Linked DNA regions of Tamandua tetradactyla. The protein of the gene in region 1 binds, or shares a complex with, the protein of each later gene. Links are inferred from orthologs where the notes say so. Each region holds a gene or a part of one and is shown on either strand. Other genes may lie near its edges.

Region 1 (7,050 bases):
CTATATACTAATTTTTTCATATGTCTCAATAATGTCCTTTTGGGCCTTTTCTCCTCCATTATTAGATCCAATCCAGGAACGTGTAATTTGGAACTGTACATGGAAGTATAAAGTGTTCAAGAATCATTATAGGTACAACCTATACTCAAAGGCATGTGTTTAATGTGATTTCCACATTAAATACATTAATGTGGAAATAGATATGCAACCATATGTAGTGTATATACTTTAGTGGATTAAAACAAATTCCCAGTGTTGTGTTACCCTCACCACCATTCATCACGAGATCTTTCTCATCATTCTAACAGAAACCCATTAACTCCTCATCCCTCCTTCCACAACCTCTAACCTGTATGTGCTGGTTTGAAAGGCTTTATGTGCCCTAGAAAAGCCATGTTTTAACCTTAATCAGCCTTGTGGGAGCAACAGTTTCTTCTAATCCCCATTCAGCACTGTATGTTGGAGACTTCAATTAGATTATCTCCCTGGAGATGTGACTCAATCAAGAGTGGTTGTTAAACCTGATTAGGTGGAGACGTGTCTCCAACCATTCCGGGTGGGTCTTGATTGGCTTTACCGGAATCCTTTAAAAGAAGAAGCACTTTGGAAAAAGCTAGAGAACAAGAAAGTCGAGAGATTCTGAGAGAGCAGAGAAGAATGATATAGCCAGGAGAAGCAGAGTCCACCAGCCAGTGACCTTCGGAGATGCAGAAGGGAAAGGCTTCCCGGAGAACTTCATGAAATAGGAAGCCGGAGAGAAAGCTAGCAGATGACGTGGTGTTCACCATGTGCCCTTCCAAATGAGAGAGAAACCCTGACTGTGTTCGCCATGTGCCTTCTCACTTGAGAGAGAAATCCTGAACTTCATTGGCCTTCTTGAACCAAGATATCTTTCCCTGGATGCCTTTGATTGGACATTTCTATAGATTTGTTTTAATTGGAACATTTTCTCAGCCTAAAAACTGTTAGTTTGCAACTTATTAAATTCCCTTTTTAAAAGCCACTGAGTTTCTGGTATATTGCATTGTAGCCAGCTAGAACACTGTACTCTACTTTCTGTCTTTATTAATTTGCATATTCTAGTTATTTTATATATCTCTCTAAGCTCTTTTGTTTTCATTTGTTCAAATTAAATTTTCCTTAAGTTATGTTTTGCAAAGGATGGTTTTTCTTTTTGGTCTTTTGTCCTGTGATCTTTTCCTTTCCTTCTACGCCCATCTTGTCTCAGAGAATTTTCTCTGAGGGAAATCAGGAATGATTTCTAAGTATCAATGTCTTATCAAACTTGGCTTTAACTTCTACTTCAAGAATTTTGAATAGCCAAAGCAGATACAAAAGCTATTTTAGGGTAAGCCATGGTGGCTCAGCAGACAGAGTTCTTGCCTGCCAGACCAGAGACCTGGGTTCGATTCCCCATGCCTGCCCATGCAAAAAAATAAAACAAAAAAAATTTCATCTATCTGCTACTGAATGTTTATTTTCCTTTTGGAAACATTGGACCTCTTTTTTCCCCTTTAAAACTGGACATAAATATATCATGCTCATACTTCATAAGCCCCATTGTGGTACCAGTTGTTTCGGAGAGGTTAAGAGTTAACAAATGATTATGATGACTGAATCATTATATAGATACCTTTTTACCTTCGAGTAATTGTAGAATAGCCAAAGTAAATATCTGAATCTACTGAGACTCCCTGAACCTTAACCCAGATGCCTTGATTTTTTTTATTAATTTAAAAAAATTAACAAACAAAACATTTAGAAATCATTCCATTCTACATATATAATCAGTAATTCTTAATATCACATAGTTGCATATTCATCATTTCTTAGTACATTTGCATCGATTTAGAAAAAGAAATAAAAAGACAACGGAAAAAGAAATAAAATGATAATAGAGAAAAAAAAACTATACGTACCACACCCCTTACCCCTCACTTTCATTTACCACTATTTCAAACTGAATTTATTTTAACATTGTTCCCCCTATTATTTTTTTTTCAGATGGGCAGGCACCAGGAATCGAACCCAGGTCCTTGGGCATGGCAGGCAAGCACTCTTACCTGCTGAGCCACCGTGAACTGCCCTGTTCCCCCTGTTTATTTTTATTCCATATGTTCTACTCTTCTGTTGATATAGTAGCTAAAAGGAGCATCAGACATAAGGTTTCCACATTCACAGAGTCTCATTGTGAAAGCTATATCTTTGTTCAATCATCATCAAGAAACATGGCTACTGGAACACAGCACTACATTTTCAGGCAATTCCCTCCAGCCTCTCCACTACATCTTGAACAACAAGGTGATATCTACTTAATGCGTAAGAATAACCTCCAGGATAACCTCTCGACCCTGTTTGGAATCTCTCAGCCATTGACCAGATGCCTTGATTTTGATGATTATCTCTTTATCTTATGATTGTAAAAGCCTTGTGATAATTTGTAACTGGCCCCGCTTATACCCCTTTATCCTGTTTTATAACATTTAAGTCTTGTGATAACTAGACAGCCTCTTAATGTTTATTAAGGAAGTAACTTAAGGAGCCCAGAACCCACCCCAATTCCTAAGCTATTTTACTAGACAAAACTGGATCTAACTAAAATTGGCCCATTTGCCAAGTGCAGTAGGGTAAGCCTTAACCTATGTGACCTATACCTAATGATAAAACTAAAAGTCATACCCATCATCATGTTAAAGCCACCACCTTCTTATATATATATTCTCTATCTAGGCATGTAATCAACTTGTGCATGCTTAATTAGATCATCTCTAACTTTGTCATTGTGAGCCATTCTACTCATTATCCTAAAACCTGCCTTTGATACTATAAAACTCTCAGAGTTATTGTAGTTTGGAGACAAAGATTTTGGGTACACAGGCCATCTGTTCCTTGCTTCGCACTTGGCAATAAATGCTTTCTCCCAGTGAAACCCTCGTCTCAGGAATTGCTCATTTGTGTAAATTGGGCAGAGAACCTCCCACCCCACCCCCCGGGTTTGATCACTAAGGCAGTCACAAAAAGATCAGTGAAACTTTGTGAACCATTTGGAATATGCAGCAAAATACAGATGGTAGAAACGCTGTGGAGTTTTGTGTAAGGCTATGCTAAATTTCTTCCTACAGATGTCTGACCTCAGTGACAGGGCTTTTGATGACACTGATTTTCCTTCTCTTAGTTAACAATCGTGTTCAAAACAAAAAACCCTTAAAGTTTTATTGGGGTGAGAGGATTTTCCTAACTCTCGAAGTCATCTTATTTCCACTAATACAAATAGATTATTCGGAATAACCTCAGGGAAAGAAGTTTTCCAGGTAGGGCACTCATACATTTGTCTGGTTTTCAAAATAATTTCTTTCCTAAATAAAGGAAGCTGCTACATTTTCAGGCATTCTTAAGTCTTTCAAATTTCAAATATCTTTAGTTCGTTCGAAAAGTCCTTTACATAAGAAATTCAGAAAAAGTACTATTCTCTTACTTGACAACTGTTATATGGCATTGAAAATAAACCAATTTCACAATTTGAAGTTATTGGGGGCACTTTTAAGTTTTCTGTAACAGAGGCACGGATTCCCTGATTGCTATTGTTTGGTCCCGGCCTTTATTTGCAGAAAGAAAACCAGTGTTTGTGCTTAATTAAACCAGCCTATCTGTCTCTGTTTCAGCGGCATCAGTTTCGTTCAAGTACGTCCTGTGTTTTGGGGTGGGAGTGGCGGCTACTGCCTTCGAACACAAGTCCGTTGGGCCGACGGGGCTCCCTTTCCTTGGACACCGCCAGGAGAAGCAGCGACTGTATCAAGGGGACTAGGAGGAGGCGAGCAGAGCCGGCCACGCGGGAAACCGCGCGCTCCACACGGCGGGGCCGGGACCCAAGCGCCAGGAGCCGCCCCAGGCCACGCACGCGCACCCGCGCCGCCTCCGCCCGGGGTGCCGCTCGCGCCGCGCTCGCGGGGCTGTCCTCGGCGGCGCCTGATCGGTGCGGAGAATTACTGTGAGGACAGAGTGGCCTTGGCTGTTTTCCCTGATGTGTTGTCGAGGCCAGGAAGGAGCGATAGTTTTAGAAGGCCGCAGAAGACGGGTTGTGACTGAGAAGAGAGGTGCCTGCCGTTTTGGAGGGTTTGGGCCTGAACGGCAGTGCAGGAGGCGCTCAGGCGGGGTCTTCTCTGCCAGCCGGACTGCGAGCAGGCGGGTCGAGCGGGAGCCTTGGAGCTTTGGCGTCCCTGCGAGTTCCGGGCGGCTGGGTCGCGGCGACATGGAGGATTTCGATGGCGAGCCAGTAGTCACTGTAAGGGCATCCCCGAATAGGCTTGTTTGCCCTCATGGTCCGAAGGCTGTGCCTGCTTGTACGTTTTGGGCTTTTTAACCTACGTACCGCCCTCGAGAATGTCGGCTTATTGGCCACGGTCGGGAGGTCTCGACACTAACTAGATGCCAGAGTTGGGTTTGCAGTGGTAACTGGGTTTTTGCTCTTTTATTCCCTCAGAAACCTGTCCCCTGAGGGCCTGCTCCCTCCCTAGGTCTCCGGTCCTTCCCATTTCCCCTGGCCTTTCCTCTTGGGTATTAGAGCAGGCTTGGACCAAGCAGAAGGAAGATTTTTTCTTCCAGCCGAACTAAACTCCACATCGTAATGCCGGGAGCTTGGACTCTGTCAGCTGTTTGTACAGTGTTGGCCCGAGGTTTATTAAACTTATTCTCTCGGGAGACTATTGCTAGTTTCATTGCTCTGTTTGCATTCAACTCCGTTTGAACTCGAGAACAGTGTCAACTGCGGATGATCTTAATGTTTATAAATAGATTCCTAGGTTTTAGATACTATTTAGTTACCGCTTTCTCTGCTTGGAATAGTCCCCCCTTTGGTTTTGGTTTATCTCTTACTCACTATTCAAATCCAAGCACCAGCAGCTTCATTTTCAGGAAAGCCTACCCTGACCTTGAGTAGGTGAACTATCTCCTGTCTGTTATAGGCTTTCAGAGTTCTGTACTTCTTAGCTGTTAACAAACTGTAATTAACTGAGCGTGTGTTTTTGCTTTTTAGAAAGTTGAAATGACAACAGTTTTCATCTAAAACCACCAGATTGCAAAGCAGTCTATGACAAACCAAACATTGAAAATAAGGATCTTTCAAAGCTAAATAGACAGAAATAAGACATGAGATATTAAGTAGGAGCAAACTAACATGGTTATTACTTTCTATTGAGCTTACTGCTGTAAAGTTTAAATATTTAATATGTATCAAGTATTTATATCAATGTTGGTGGTGTATGTAAGAAGAAGAATTAGAAAACCAGGATTACTGATATAACTTTTTGAAAGTATATGTCGTCTTTTCGTTTCACAGTCCACTTATGTCAGAATCTTTGAATGAGGGAAACTTCCCTGTCAAACCCTGGAGAACCTTTTCTCTGATACTGGGATATGCATTTTCAAAAGGGACAAAATGTTCAGCTAGGCCCCCTTCCTCCCCCAAGTGATGATGATTAATTTGTGGTAACCACATTCTGCATTGGTATTGGGGAGACCCGCTAGGAAGCTGGTTTGCCTGTGGACAGAGCCTCACTGCATGGCACCATCTTGGAAGAATTTCATAGTCCAAACTCTAAGCCTGGACTCTGCAAATTCAAATGAAACTGTTTTCTGTATTTGAGAGTTAATCTGTGCTTTGGGTTTACTCTAATCAGACTCTCAAGAGAATGATAAATAACCCTGAATACCTGAATAACATTTTATTAATATACCTCTTATAGTAGTTGTCTGCTGTTCAGGCAACTGCTTCTTATCAGGGCACATGAAGGCAATTTGGTAATTAGCACATTCAGTGATGTCTCAGCATAGATTAAAGAGAGTAGGATAGTCTTGGGTGGGTAGTTCATCTAGACCAGTGGTCTTAGCCTTTTTAATTTATTTTTGGGGTCAAGGACGCTTAAGAAATGTAAGTTATAGTCAAATTTTCCCTCCAAAAATGCCCCATGCATGTAATTACATGTAGTTCAAGGACCCATGGAAACCCAGACATGAAGCCTCATTTCCCTTTCCAGTCAGTTTCCACCATCCCACACATTGAGTTCTAGCACCATACATTAATTTTGCCTGCTCTTGAAATTTAGCTCAGTATTTGTTTTCTGTGTGTGTTTTTCAAGAACTCATTGTTTTTAGGATTTGTTATGTTGTATGAATCATGTTTCTTGTTGATAGATACTTGGGTTTCCATTTTTGGCTACCGTGAATAAAGCTGTTCTGTGTTCCTGTACAAGCTGGTAGTTTTTGTTTGTTTGCACATACACGTTCCTTTCTTCTGGGTAAGTGGAATTGCTAGGAGTTAGGGTAGATGCATATTTAGCTAGAAGAAGCTCAGTTCTTCTATACCATTTTTTTTTTCACCTGTACCAGCAAATTGTGAGAAATGCAGTTGCTCCATACCCTTGTCAACTCTTGGTATGATCAGTCATATCATTTTAGCCATTCTAGTGGGTGTGTTGTGGTATCTCAGTGTCATTTTAATTCATATTTCTCTAATGACAAATGATATTGAGAATCTTTTTACATGCTTATATGTCATTTGTATATCTTCTTTGGTGAACTGTGTTCAAATTTTTCTCCCATTCTATCTGGTTGTTGTTTTTCTTGAGTTGTAAGAGTTCTTTATATATTCTGGACCGAAGTCCTTTATCAATTAGATGCTTTACAGATATTTTCTCCCAATCTATGGCTTGCCTTTTCACTTTCCAATATCTTTTTAAGAGGGAAAGTTTTTAATTTTAATGAAGTCCTTTATAAATCTTTTTCTTTTATGCCTTCCATGGTTTGTGCTTTTTGTGTTCTAGGAAATCTTTGTCTCATTCAGAGTAAAAAAGATGTTCTCCTTTGCTTTGTCTATATGTTTTATAGATTCTGCTCTTACTTTTTAATTTTTATCCCCCCCCCCCCCCAGTGGATATCCATATGTTCCAGCACTATTTGTTGAAAATATATCCTTTCCCCATAAAATTACCTTGGCACCTTTGTTAAAAATCAGCCATATGCATGTGGGTTTGCTCTGGACTTTCTGTTCTCTTA
Region 2 (7,390 bases), on another chromosome or scaffold:
TGAACTAGAAACAGAGAAATCATTTAGGAATTAGGAAGTTTAGGTATAAAATAAGGTCCCAATCTAAGATGCTGATAATGTCAACAAATGGAAGAGACATTATAAAGGAAGAACTGATCAAATCTGGGTGACTAAAAAGCAGTGGGAAGGGAGCGATAGAGGACCTGAGACTGGGAAAGTCAGATTTATAGGCCTATTACTGCTCTCTAGCCTGTCACTGCATAGCCACTTTCCCTACTCAGAATTTTTGTGCTTAAAAATTCCCTCTTTACAAAAGTACCAAAATTAAAACTATCAAATAAACATTTATTTTCATCTATCCAAAGACTACAAAAAATCTCAAAATACCACCTTTCTCACTGTACCTAGTATAAGACCCTTACTACCTTAAATGCCAATTTTCCTTTGCATGTCTATAAATACTAGGCTTTAAAGTTGACAATTTCCTCCATTAGCACTGTGTCAACATCAAACAAGACTTAGGTTTGCAACCAGAGAAAGTAGGTTGAAACCGTATTAATAAATGTTCAAATTAAAAAACAAATAACACTCCCCCCAATCTGAAAAAGAACATGTCAAAAAAAAAAGTGGGAAGAATATAAGAACTGTTTACATCCCATAGTTTGAAATCCTTTATTTATGTAAATGAAAAACAAGTACCTTCGATAGGGATATATTTTTACACTTAAAATACGAATTATTTTAATACCACATGAAAAGGATTTTCTAAAAACCTGATCAGGGAGACTATTCAGCCTTATTATAGCACCTTACTATGAATGCTTAAAATGGTTTCATATTTCCAAAACAAATTTGTTAGTCAAATTATTTAGAAACGTATTTTAAGCAACTGTAAAGAATGCAAATAATTTTGAGAAATATAGTTTCTAAAGTACACTATTACCTTTAATTCGTGATAATCTATTGCTTCATCTTTGTCTGTATCAAACAGCTCAAAAGCATCTTTAATTTCTTGCTTCTGTTCCTCAGAGAGTTCTCTTCTTTTTTTCCTTTTTGTTTTGTCTACTACAAACTCATTTCTATAAATGAGGGGAAAAAAAGCCTTTAGACCATTTTAATCCTATTCTCGTATGCTTCTAAATGACTAAGATTGCAAAAGTGCAAAGAAAAAACAGCCAATGAATGATTTTCTAAATTTCTAAAAGGGAAGTATTTTAGAGAAAGAGAAATTTTCCTTACCAGTGAATTCTCTGCTCATTCCACAATTTTAGCTGCTATAAATTTGCCCTTCCTAAGAATGAACTGCATTACAGGTTATTAAAAGAATTAAGGACCTAATTTTCCTTAGTCTTCTAACACCACTAATACTACTGTGGAAGAAACAAGAACTGGAAATAAGAAACATTACTTTCAAGTCAGAAATGTCAAAAAAAAAAAAAAAAGCAAAGCACTTGTAGCACCTGTACTTATTATTTACATCACGCTACAATACAAAGTGTTTTAAAAAACCTCCAAGTCAAAGTCAAATGATAAATGACCAATATCGCTATATATTTTATGTATTTTTGATAGTACTTGTAGTTATCAAAATTACCACAAACAAAACATACAATTTATTTACTAACTTATAAAGTACTTTGGCACTACAGGTTCAAAATGTTTTAGATTACACGTTCCTAATAGATTAGCATTGTATCTGTAATTCTTCCACTGACATTAACTTAGCCAAAATATTGAGTCTAAATATATGAATATTAATTGCTGAAAGTCAATGGTCTTCTAGGTCTCATTTAACAAGTAAATTATATGTTAAATTTCTCATAAACTATGGAAAAGTCTAAAGAAAAAAATATTTAAAAAAGCACAAGTATCTTAAGAGATCTAAAAATGTTCCAAATTTTCAAATAAGCTATAACACTTGAATAAGTTTTTAAAAGCCAATAGGTTCTTACAAAACTTTAAAATGTAAACCCAGTTGATTTTATTGGAACACATTATCTATTTGCATTTGAAGGTCATTTTGGTCTCTGAAATCTACCCCAAAAAAGCAAGAAGAGATGGCTAGAAAGTGACAAGGAGATGAAGGATGAGAAAGATGTTTATTTCACATGAGACCTGACTTCACACAAGCTTGGACACTTCCCGGGGTCAGTCATTCCTATTCCAAGATTCCGAGAAGAAAATCCGCAACCGACAACTGACCCCATCAGAAGGTACCACAGTCGTCCCTTAGCAAAACACGGAACCTTTTAGAGTGACTTAACTATCTGAAAATTTTTACACTGATGACTGAATTAGGAGAGGGGGGAAACAGGCGGAGAAGGATTAGAGGTTAGAACTGAAAAGACATTTAAGAACTCCAAGATAAAGATGGGCTATTAATCAGTAAAACAGATCCCCAGTTATGCCATATACCCCAGGAGAACAGCGAGTTTTGTGATATTTCCAAAATGTACGGCTGGATGACATTAGCACTGGGACAGAAAAGGTGGAGGCTGGAAATTGGCAACAAGCCCCTGAATTAAAAGCTGCTACACAGCCGGATTTCTCCCAGGAGCACCCTGAGTAGAAATCTCGCGATAATTCATCCCCTCCTCGCTCGTAAGCACAGCAACCACCTTTTAGGTGGGCCGAAGTACAAGGGGTGACAGAAAAGACCAACTCGGCAGAAATGCACAGGACTCAACAGCTGCGGACACGCGGGACCCTTGAGTGAGGGATCCAGACCCAGGATGTTGGCCGTGGCTCCTTCTCCGTCCACCGTTCCCGCCTCTCTTTCTTCGCCTCGGACCCAAACTACCTCCCTTACACACACACACACACACACACACACACACACACACACTCACACACAAACCGGTCCCACTCCGGCATTACGGCCTCCTCATTACCGACCTCAGAGCTAAACTCATTTTCTCCTCGGACAGAGACGTTCCTCAAAAACGATCTTAACCCCCTACCCAGGGCAGCACGATTTCAACAAGCCGTTCAACAGACAACAACGACCTCACAGTCCTCGAGGACCTCCCACAAGATACAGTTCTGAGCTGGATTGGTTGAAAATCACTAATGTCCTGCCTATTCGGGCGGGAGCCCCATTACTTCTATGTTCCCATTGGGCAAATTTAGCGTCAATCAAAGGAACTTCCTGCCGCATGTCGCTTACTGCCCTGCTCGTCCTCTAGATTGGCCAGATGCTTTATTTCCCTGAATCCTTTGCGCGGCCGGTTTAGGCGGCGGGTGGGTGACCCTGGCCTCACGCGAGGAAGCCAGCCAGGGCGCTTACTCGGAGGAAGGAATGGTAGAGACGAGCCCCAAGCTACCCTCCAGATAGAGAGAGTGCAGCTGGGGCACGATAGCTATAGAATTTGAACCCACTATGTTCTAAAACTTTGCGTGGCCTATATACATGGGGAGATTGCTCATACCGCAAATTTAAGTACCTCTTACCCCCCTGATTCCAATAGGTATAAATCTACTTTTTTTTTCCTTATAGACTGTCCAAGTGAACCTAGCAGATCTTGGATAATCACTGGGTTGAATTATTTGGCTGTTGACGGTGAAGCTGTACCTAATTGCACTTTCTCCTCGCATCTTCACTTGAATGGTTTTGTTCACTAATGTCCTTTGTTATTTTCTGGTGCTGTAAGCGCTTTTTACACCTGTTGTTATCTTCACCACTGAAGCAAGCTTCCGAAGCTCCTTTTGGTATTTAATGTGTTTGCTTGTGTTTACTCCCCTGAAAGGTGAATTTCTTGAAGCCCAGGGTTGTCTCTTCCATTTAACTCTCTTCCTAGTGCCTACCTAAAACAGTGTTTGACATATATAGTTGCTCAATAAATATTTGTTGCATTAATTGGAATCTTGCTGTGAAATTTCACAAACTACTGAACTAAACTGCAAATTAGAAACATGAATAAGCTAGACTGGCGATAGGATAAATGAGAAGAAAGATGAACAATCTGTAACACTAACATGTATAAGGAATGTGCATAAGTTTAGAGAAGGGAAAGAGCACAGCAGCGTAGGAAACAAAGCTTGAAGGGGGGTGGCCTTTTGTAGTACTTTTACCAGAAAAGGATGCTAAATTTTGTCAAATGCTGTTTCAGCATCAATCAATATGACTATATGCTTTTTCCCATTGAATTTATTAATAAGCTGTATTACATTAATTGATATTCTTAGTTGAACCACCCTTGCATTGCTGGCATAAATCCCACTTGGTTGTGATGTATAATTCTTTTAATGTATGGTTGGATTTGATTTGCTAGAATTTTGTTGAGATTTTTTACGTCTATGTTCATTAGAGAAATTGGTCTATCTTCTATTCTTGTAGTGTCTCTATCAGGTTTTGGTATTAAAGTGATATTGGCTTCATAAGTTAGGTAGTGATCCTTTTTCCTCAATTTTATGAAAGAATGTGGAAAAATTGTTAATTCTCTTGGGAACATTGGATAAAATTCCCCCTATGAAGCCATCCGGCCCTGGACTTTTCTTTGTAGAAAGACTTTTGATAGCTAATTGAATCTCTTCATTTGTAATTGCTTTGTTATGATCTCCATTTCTTCTTGAGACAGTGTTGTTAATTCATATGTTTCTAGAAATTTGTCGATTTCATCTAAGTTGTCTAGTTTGTTGGCATATAGTTCTCCATAATATCCTCTTATAATTTTTAAAAATTTTTCAGGATCCATAGTAACAACCCCCTCTGATTTCTAATTATGTTTATTTGCACCCTCTCTTTTTTTCTCTAGCTAGGGATCCATCAATATTATTGCTTTTCTCAAAAGACAACTTTTGGTTTAGTTGATTCTATTGTTTTGTTGTTGTTCTCCAGTTCATTTATTTCTGCTTTAATCTTTTTTTTTTTTTCCTCTTCTTTTTGCTTTGGGGTTAGTTTGCTATTCTTTCTCTAGTTCCTCAGGTGAGCAGTTAGGTCCTCAGTTTTTACTCATTCTTTTTTAATGTAGGCATTTAGGGCAATAAATTTTCCTCTCAGCACTGCCTTTGCTGCATCCCATGAGTTTTCATATGTCATATTCTCATTATCTTTCATCTTCAGATATTTACAAATTTCTCTGGTAATTTCTTCTTTGATCCATTGATTGTTTGAAAGTGTGTTATTAAATCTCCATGTATTTGTGAAATTTCTGATTCTTTGGTGATTGTTAATTTCCAACTGTTCTAGTTTGCTAAGCTGCCGGAATGCAATATACTATAAATGGAATGGCTTTTAAAAAGGGGAATTTAATAAGTTGCTAGTTTACAGTTCTAAGACTTAGAAAATGTCCCAATTAAAGCAAGTCTATACAAGTGTCCAATCTAAGGCATCCAGGGAAAGGTATCGTGGTTCATGAAGTTCAGGGTTTCTCTCAAGTGAGAAGGCACACGGCGAATACAGTCAGGCTTCCTCTCTCATCTGGAAGGGTACACGGCGAGCATGGCATCATCTGCTAGCTTTCTCTCCTGGCTTCTGGTTTCGTGAAGCTCCCGGAAGGCATTTTCCTTCTTCATCTCCAAAGGCCACTGACTCGTGGACTTTCCACTTTGTGGTGCTGCAGCATTCTCTGTTCTCTCCGAATCTCTTTCATTCTCCAAAATGTTTCCTCTTTAATAGGACTCCAGAAATTTATCAAGACCCACCCAAATGGGTGGAGACATGTTGTCACCTAATCCAGTTTAACAATCACTCTTGATTGAATCACATCTCCTGGGAGATGATCTGGTTACAGTTTTGAACATATATAGGGATTATTGAATAGGAATTATTCTGCCTTTATGAAATGGGATTTATATTAAAACATGGCTTTTCTAGGGGATAGACATCCTTTCAAACCAGCACACCAACTTAATTCCATTGTGATCAGAGAAAGTGTTTTGAATAATTTCAATCTTATTAAATTTACAAAGACCTGATTTGTCTTCCCATATATGATCTATCCTAGAAATATGTTCCATGAGCACTAGAGAAGAATGTCCTAGTATTTTAGGGTGTAACGATCCATATATATATATATATAAATTAGGTCCAATTCATTTATCACATTGTTTAAATTCTCCTTGATTTCTACTGATCCTCTGCCTAGTTGTTCCCACCTATAGAGGAGAGTGATGTATTGAAATCTTCCACTATTATTGTTGAAATGTCAATTACTCTCTTGAATTTAGCCAGTATTTGCCTCGTGTACTTTGGAGCTCATTGATTGGGAGCATAAAATTTATGATTGTTATTTCTTCTGGGTGAATTGTCCCTTTTATTAATATATAGTGTCCTTCCTCATCTCTTATGATGTCGGTACATTTTAAAGTCTATTTTTCTGAAATTAATATAGTTACCCCTGCTTTCTTTAGGTTAGAGCTTACATAGAATATCTTTTTTCATCATTTCACTCTCAATTCATTTGTATCCTTATGTCTAAGATGAGTCTCTTATAAGCAGCATATAGATGGATCTTATTTTTTAATCCATTCTGCTGATCTTTCTCTTAATTGATGAGTTTAGTCCATTAACATACAGAGCTATTGCTGTAGAGGCCATTCTTGAATCATCGTCTTAACCTTTAGTGTTTATTTATCAGACCTATATATTCTTTTCCTTCTTTCTCATATAATCATTTAAGTTACCCTTACTGTAAGTCTTCAATTTTATACTCTGCTCCAGACCTTCCTCTTTTGTCTTTTTCTTTTTTCAGTCGACAGAACTCCCTTTAGTGTTTCTTGCAGGGTAGGTCTCTTTTGGCAAATTCTCTTAGCCTTTTTTTGTCAGTGAAGATTTTAATCTCTCTCTCAATTTTAAAGAATAGCTTGGCAGGTTAAAGAATACTTGACTGGAAATCATTCTCATTCAGAATCTTAAATATATCATACCACTGCCTTCTCACCTCCATGGTGGCTGTTGAGTAGTCTGAGCTCAGTCTTATGTGGTTTCCTTTATATGTAGTTAATTGCTTTTCTATTGATGCTTTCATGATTTTTTGCTCTTCTTCAATATTTGACATTCTGATCAGCTTGTGTCTTGGAGTATGCCTATTTGGACTTATACTATTTGGGGTTCATTGGATTTCTTTGATTTTCATCTTTGTGTCTTTTATAAGAGTTGGGAAATTTTCTCCTATTATCCCTTTAACTAGCCTTCCTATCCCTTTACTCTTCTCTTCTCTTTCTGGGTCACTGATAATCCTTATATTTGTGAACTTTATGTAATCTATCATTTCCCTGAGATCTAGTTTGGCTTTTTCCGTCTTTCTTGCCATTTGTCCTTGTATGCATTCAAGTTCAATTGTCCTTTCTTCTAATTCACTTATTCTTTTTTCTGCCTCTTCAAATCTTCTATTGTGGTCTCTAGTATACTTTTAACTTTCTCTGCAGTATCTTTCATCTCTGTGATATCTGCTATTTTTCTAATTATTCTTTGAAATTCTTCTTTTAT

What was found. Proteins that work in one complex are often made in the same cells at the same time.
Region 2: NUP85 (region 1) and CETN3 share a complex: the UniProt entries of both Homo sapiens proteins name them as parts of the nuclear pore complex. The link is inferred for Tamandua tetradactyla from reciprocal best matches to the Homo sapiens genes NUP85 and CETN3.

The regions. Positions count from the first base shown.
Region 1 is NC_135332.1:15,620,112-15,627,161, forward strand, and holds the start of NUP85 (nuclear pore complex protein Nup85), read left to right. Parts: upstream 1-3,940; 5' UTR 3,941-4,021; coding exon 4,022-4,282; exon of another isoform or gene 4,283-4,316; coding exon of another isoform or gene 4,317-4,340; intron 4,341-7,050. UniProt on the Homo sapiens protein: Essential component of the nuclear pore complex (NPC) that seems to be required for NPC assembly and maintenance. As part of the NPC Nup107-160 subcomplex plays a role in RNA export and in tethering NUP96/Nup98 and NUP153 to the nucleus.
Region 2 is NC_135347.1:40,872,258-40,879,647, reverse strand, and holds the start of CETN3 (centrin-3), read right to left. Parts: upstream 3,010-7,390; 5' UTR 2,874-3,009; coding exon 2,857-2,873; intron 1,041-2,856; coding exon 905-1,040; intron 1-904. UniProt on the Homo sapiens protein: Plays a fundamental role in microtubule-organizing center structure and function. As a component of the TREX-2 complex, involved in the export of mRNAs to the cytoplasm through the nuclear pores.